2 linked regions of the Callithrix jacchus genome follow. The protein of the gene in region 1 interacts with the protein of each later gene in a pairwise test. Links are inferred from orthologs where the notes say so. Each region holds a gene or a part of one and is shown in the gene's direction. Other genes may lie near its edges. The genes, in order: CLK3 and OAS2.

Region 1 (3,272 bases):
CAGACTCCTGACCTGGTGTGCCTGCCTTGCCTTTCAGAGCTGTGAGGAGAAGTCAGTGAAGAACACCAGCATCCGAGTGGCTGACTTCGGCAGTGCCACCTTTGACCATGAACATCACACAACCATCGTGGCCACCCGTCACTATCGCCCACCTGAGGTGATCCTTGGTGAGTGACTGTATGGCCTGTGACCTTGTCACACTGGACCTGTTGGAAGGGTATGAATAGAGGCGGTGGCATGCCTTTCAGTCTCTGCCACCCAGGGCAGGCAGAGTTTCTCAGATCAAGGGGCCCATGTCATGAGACACAGGTGACTGACCTGGCCTTATCTGTCAGCCTTACTGAGAGGGGGCCTTGTACTGGGATTTGGGCAAGAGTCCTGCCAGCCAGTGTGGTGGTTGCCCTGTGACCTCCAGGCTGCAAGGACAGGGCCGGATCTCTCAGCCTCTCCCCATCTTGGCTTTCAGAGCTGGGCTGGGCACAGCCCTGTGACGTCTGGAGCATCGGCTGCATTCTCTTTGAGTACTACCGGGGCTTCACACTCTTTCAGGTACAGCTACCCCGCATCACTTCCCTACCCAAGCACTGCCGTTGTGACAGGCTGCAGGCCCCTGGGCTGGGAAGCCCCATGCGGATGAGAAGACAGGTTGTCTTCCTCCTCCCACTGGTCATGTTGTGAGGTTCAGACTCCTAAGGATATGGATGCTAAAGGGTATGCAGAAGTCAGGGTAGCTGGGACACTCAGAGAGGAGTCTTGTGCTAGGCCATCGAGGAGGGCGGATGGGGCAGGTGACCTGACCTTCTAGATAAGGGCACAGATGAATAAAGGCATTGGGATGGGCTGGGATAGGGCATGGGCTGCCAGGCTGCCGTTTCATTGGTAGGCTTAGATCTCCTGGGGCAGTGAGGGCACTTGCCCATCTCTCTTGTTCCTTATTCCCCGTGAGGAAGCCAGAACTAGGACTGACCCTACTTGCACTGTCTCTAATCTTCCACAGACCCATGAAAACCGAGAGCACCTGGTGATGATGGAGAAGATCCTAGGGCCCATCCCATCACACATGATCCACCGTACCAGGTATGTATCCCAGTAGCCCCCTCAGGGTTGGCATAGGGGCCTTTCTCTTTTGGCTGTGGGTCAACAGGGTACTAGACGTGGTGAATCTTTGAGGGACAGTCCATGGCTCCCCAGGCTCCTAAAAGCCTTTCCTATGTGCCCCTGCAAACCTGTTGCCCTGGTTCTGCTGCTGTCTTGGGAGCTGTTCTTCCCCACCCCCCACCAGAGGCTTGTCCCCTTACTACTATCACCACTTGACCCCACCGCCTTAATTTTCAGGAAGCAGAAATATTTCTACAAAGGGGGCCTAGTTTGGGATGAGAACAGCTCTGATGGCCGGTATGTGAAGGAGAACTGCAAACCTCTGAAGGTCAGTTTCTGGCTTCCCCAGCTCAACTCATCCCAAGGAGAGACCCCAGGCACTGGGCAGACTATACATCAGACAGGCCAGGCCGCTAAAGGCTGCCTCCTCGATCCAGCTCTGTGGGAGGCGACACCCAAGACTGCTGGGTGCTGGCAGTGAGGCTTCTTGCAAACTGCTCCAGAGGGGCCCTTAGCCCTACCCCTTCCCCATAGGGTGGCTATGAATTTAATTGGGGAACACCAGAAGAGCCAGATGTCAGAAACCCTGCTGCTTCCTGTCCCTCTCACCCTCTCTCAAAATTTTGGGAAGAACTAGGCAGGACTGAGGTGAGGGGGAGGGAAGACCTAGAAATGGCCAGGAAGCCTCTGTCAACTGCATTTGATGCTTGGACAAGTGAATTTCGCAGAGGTGATCTCTACCCACCTGTCAGGACTTTGCATGTGGGGGCAGAGGCATCAACCCAGCAAGACGCCTAGTAGCCTGGCAAGTTCCGAGCAAAACGTTAAACACGGGCATGAAAGGAAAGGAGCTGCTCATTGTCCAGGAGGGCGGAAGTAGAGTCCTCCAAGGAGGCATCACTGCCTCCTCGATCCAGTCCAGCAAGGCATCCCAGAGGCAAGGGGACCTGCTGAGGCTTCCCACTACCCTGCCGTCACACTGAGGCACCTTGTGTCCCTGAGCAGAGTTACATGCTCCAAGACTCCCTGGAGCACGTGCAGCTGTTTGACCTGATGAGGAGGATGTTAGAATTTGACCCTGCCCAGCGCATCACACTGGCCGAGGCCCTGCTGCACCCCTTCTTTGCTGGCCTGACCCCCGAGGAGCGGTCCTTCCACACCAGCCGCAACCCAAGCAGATGACAGGCGCAGGCCACCGCATGAGGAGATGGAGGGCAGGACTGGGCCGCCCAGCCCCTTGACTCCAGCCTTGACCACCAGGCCCCAGGCCAGAGCCACCCAACGAACAGTGCAATGTGAAGGAAGGCAGGAGCCTGCAGGGGAGCAGACTTGGTGCCCAGCTGCCAGAAAGCACAGATTTGACCCAAGCTATTTATATGTTGTAAAGTTATAATAAAGTGTTTCTTACTGTTTGTAACCCCTGGTACCAGTGTGTCCATCTCCAGGCTCCTTGCCTTCCCCTTCCCTGACCTTACTAATAAAGTATTTCTTAGCACTTCAGCTTGTGGAGAGCTAAGTGTGAACTGGGCCAGGCACAGAAGAGCTAGGCAGGGGTAAGACCAGAAGCAGGGACGTCCTCTGGGCCCTGTCTGCTGAGCAGTCCTAGATGGCACCTCTGCCCTCCTGGCTGCTGTACCTCTCAGCCCCGAAGAACCTAAGGGACTCTGCCCACTGTGGGGTCTGGTTTTCTGTAGCCTGCCAGCCCCATTACTGGCTGGGACTTTAGGCTGTATGTGCCCAACAACTATGGTCTGCTGAAGGCAGGAGGCAAGTGGGGCGGGTTCCTAGGCTGGGGCAGGCAGCACCTCCTGACAGCCTTCAGAGCAATTCACACACACGGCATAGGACTCAGTCATTCAGCTTTATTTCAGTGCTGGTTTTTGGTTCTCTAAGAGCTGCATGAGTGCTAGGCTTCACCACGTGACTGGGGACTCCTTGGGAACTGGATACTATAGGCAGGATGCCCCTGAAATAACTGAAGACAGGAATCTTACTTCTCTTCAACACCTCTGTGGAAGGCCTAGGCTGAGGATGAGGGAAGGGACAAGCCCCAAGGCCCCCTGGGGAGAGAGGAGTGAGAAGCTTGGGTACAAACTCCCAGTGGCCCCTCGGCTGGCATCCCTGGATTTTGCTGGAGAGAGCAGTCTCCTGGGCCAGGGTTGTTCTAGCTTGTT
Region 2 (3,818 bases), on another chromosome or scaffold:
GATAGATGATTGGGTCATTTTCAAACTGGGGCAATGATGAATTAGGTTACCATGGATATTCTCCTACATGTCTTTCTGTGAATGTAAGCACTCATTTCTCTTGGGTAAATATGTAGCAGTAGAATTGCTGGGCTATCTAGTACACATATACAAATGCTGTGTACGTATCTGTGTAAATATATAAAATACATGTGGTTTATTTGATTCTTTTTTGTTTAACTATAGCAAATCTTGCCAAACCATTTCCAAAATCTTACCAAATTACCCTCTCATGAGCAACGTATGAGTTTCAGGCATGTTAATAAACCCAAGGATCTGCTCACCTAGCACAGCAAAGCCAAACAGTGACTTTGGGATTGCAGAGAAAGAGTGAGGCATTTATTGCAGGGAGCCAAGCGGGGAGAACTGGGCAGCTCATGTTTACGAGCTGAACTCCCCAGTGGCTTATAGGTAAGGGTTTTAAAGGTGAGGAGACAGAGGTTACAGGCAAAGCCATAAGTCAACACATGGAGGCTGTACATTGGTTTGACCTAAAAAGGTGGGACACGTCCAAGCAGGAGGGAGGAGGAGGATGGGTGGCACAGGTCACAGGATTCAAAGATCTTCCGATTTTTGATTGGTGAAGTAGGTGAAGCTTTGTCTAAAAATTTCAGATCTGCAGAAAGGAATGTTAGCTCTGGCTCATAGGTGTGACCTCCTCCAGGACCCTCAGGAAGAAATTTAGAACAAAGAAGGAGCCAGGGTTCAATGCTCAGCTTCCTCTTATCTGAGGTCTGCCTGCCAGTGGATTCACTTGGTGGGAGTCTGAGTTTCTGAAAATCAACTCAGGGACATATGTTAAGATGTTATCTTTAGTTTCTACAGGGAACAAAACATCTTCTGACTCTGACTTCCTTGGCTATTGTTTTAAGTGACTATTACCTTCTTTTGTTGTTTTTATTTTATTGGGTTTTTTTTTCACTGCTCCTGTAGACCCTGAACTACTATATTTTTGCTTATCAAATGGCTCATTGACTTTTCAAAGCTAGTGAGGGGCCTGGAATTTCCCTTGAAAGAACTCAAGATTTTCCTTTCTTTTCCTGCTTGTGGGATGGGGGCAGTGGTGGCCTGCAGGCCCCTAAGAGAGGTCCCTGCTCCATCCCAGTTGCTTTACATCTTTGTCAAGACTTGGTATTGTGAGTCCACTGAATTGTAGGCATTCTGGCGAGGGAGAATGACTTCCTGTAGGCTTCTAGCTTCTTGATTTCAGATTGCCGACATAGGAAGAACTCGATCCCCAAATAAGCCACCACCCTTTTCTTCTCCCATAGTGCCAGGAAAAAATGAATGGTTTACCCTTGCTGTCTCCGTACGCCCTGGAGCTGCTTACTGTGTATGCCTGGGAACAGGGGTGCAGACAAGATGACTTCGACATTGCTGAAGGCGTCAGAACCGTTCTGGGGCTGATCAAATGCCAGGAGCAGCTGTGTATCTATTGGATGGTCAACTACAACTTTGAAGATGAGACCGTCAGGAACGTCTTGCTGCACCAGTTCCAATCAGAGAGGTGCCAAGCTTCTCATGCCCTAGCCCTGTACCTCATCATCTGCGTGCTAGGTGTACCTCTTTGGAATGAGATCTCAGCCTTGCCCTGTCCAGTCAGTGATGTACCAGAAGAATGGCAGCCGCCATGGGTGGGGAGGCAGAGGGGTCTGTCTGAAAGAGGGGAGGTCCAACCATTGCTTTTCACGTTCCAAACCATAATCACATTTTGTCCCCTAAACAAACACATGAAGCGACACTTCCCCTTATAGAAAGAAGGGGCTAAGAGAGAAGGGGGAGTGGCAGGAAGAGAAGACCAGTTTGTTGTTTCATTAATAGAATGTCTCTGCAAAGCAGCAAACGCAGGGCCAGAGGAGCTTGATGTCCTAGACAAAACCCTTCAGCAGCTTGGAGGAGCCATGGGAATCCAAATTCAGGTCACCAGATTCCCACTCAAGGCCTCTTTCCCCAATACAGATTTTGCCCCTCACAAGAAGCTCAACTGATTTTTTTTAATCTAATGGAATACACAGGCCAGTAATCTTGGATCCAACCGACCCGACCAATAACGTGAGTGGAGATTACAGATGCTGGCAAAGGCTGAAACAAGAGGCTCAGACCTGGTTGACTTCTCCCAACCTGGATAATGAGTTACCTGCACCATCTTGGAATGTCCTGGTAAGAGGGTTTTCCAAATACACGGTATTGCATGCTGCAGGAAAGTCTTCCTGCCACCCAGGCTAAGTATTATCTGAGAGTTCCCTGTATTAATTTCCTGTGCTGCTGTTACAAAATTCCGCAAAACAGGTGGCTTAAAACCACAGAAATTTATTCTCTCACCATTCTGGATATTGCTGGTTCAAACTCAGGGTGTTGACAGGGCTACACTCTCTCTGCAGGCCTTAAGGAAGAATTATTCCAGGCTTCCTCCAGCTTACAGTAGTTGCCAGCAGTCCTTGGCTTGTGGCTGCATCACTCCAGCCTCTACCCCTGTGGTCACATGCCCTTCTCCCTATGTGTCTTCACATCAGCTTCCCTCTGTGCATATCTGTCTTATTGTCTCCTCTTCTTCTAAGAGCAACAGTCTTACTGAATTAGGGTCCACCCCAATGACCTAATTTTCACTAGATCCCATCTGAAAAGACACTATTTCCAAGTAAAGCACATTCGCCAATACTGTACGTTGGAACCCCAGCATCTTTTAGGGGGACACAGTTCAACCCTCAGCACACCAACAGGGGCAATGACTGTAAAGTCCAAAATGGAACAAAGAGAAACGGGGTACCCACAGATGCAAGATCTCAATTAATTTCTTTAAGAGAGACAGCCAGGCATGCGGAGACATGAAACAGAGCATTGTTCAGAGAAGGGGCGGCAGTCAGGCCTGTCGCTGCCAGGACAGGCTCTGAGCTCCATTCAGGCAGGTGCCGGGGGCAAAAGCCAGAAGTGGGGCCAAAACAGGAGAACCAATTAAGGCACCAGCTGTGAAACAGGTGCACTGGACTTCCCCCTCCCATCCCCAAAAGGAGAAGTAAATCCACCAACACGAACTCCCCTGCATGCTCAGCTCTTATTAGAGAAAAGCCATCCAAGAAGAAACTTCCCAGGTTAGACCACTGAGCCCTCTCAGCTTTCCTGGGAACCTCACTGGGGACAACTTTATTAATTGAGGCCAAAGGGGCCAACCAAATTCCACACTTCACAGGCAGGAGATTAATTTATATCCAAGTTATGGGAGACAGAATCCACATCACATTTGCACAGAAATTTGAAGGCTAACTGAGCACCAATCTGGCATGTAAATGAAGACGTAAATGAGTTTAGCAAAATTCACAGAAGCGGGGGAGTCTATGAATGGGGAACTTCCATAACTGGACCCAGCAGGATCAGGATGCTCTGAGCAGTCACCCCAACCCCTACTTTCACTGGACCCCTGGTCTTTGCTCCCTGACCCCAATTTTCCTGGCTTCTTCAGGCAGATTTTTTTCAAAAAAATTACCCCCTCTTCCCTGACATTTTATTCTGAAGCTTTGAAACATTTAAAAAGTTAAAAAAAATGGTTCAATAAACTGCTAGGAGCCCCTCATGCAGATGCATCCTGTGTGACATTTGCTATGTTAGTTTGTAGTACACGTTATTATTATTGTTGTTATAGTTGTTTTTAATCTATTTTTAAAGGTGGGATCTCACTACATTGGCCAGGCTAATCTCAAACTCCTGGGCTCAAGTGATCCTCCCACCTTGGCCTCCCAAAGTCCTGGAATTACAAGCGTGAGCGACCTCACCTGCCCATCATT

Evidence for each region.
Region 2: the proteins of CLK3 (region 1) and OAS2 interact in binary tests that used the Homo sapiens proteins (3 or more experiments, as listed by UniProt). The two-hybrid records come from large-scale screens. The link is inferred for Callithrix jacchus from reciprocal best matches to the Homo sapiens genes CLK3 and OAS2.

Annotation. Positions count from the first base shown.
Region 1 is NC_133509.1:21,630,200-21,633,471, reverse strand, and holds the end of CLK3 (dual specificity protein kinase CLK3), read left to right. Parts: intron 1-37; coding exon 38-167; intron 168-466; coding exon 467-549; intron 550-997; coding exon 998-1,077; intron 1,078-1,335; coding exon 1,336-1,426; intron 1,427-2,103; coding exon 2,104-2,280; 3' UTR 2,281-2,515; downstream 2,516-3,272. UniProt on the Homo sapiens protein: Dual specificity kinase acting on both serine/threonine and tyrosine-containing substrates. Phosphorylates serine- and arginine-rich (SR) proteins of the spliceosomal complex.
Region 2 is NC_133510.1:115,976,287-115,980,104, forward strand, and holds part of OAS2 (2'-5'-oligoadenylate synthase 2), read left to right. Parts: intron 1-1,310; coding exon 1,311-1,546; intron 1,547-2,054; coding exon 2,055-2,199; intron 2,200-3,818.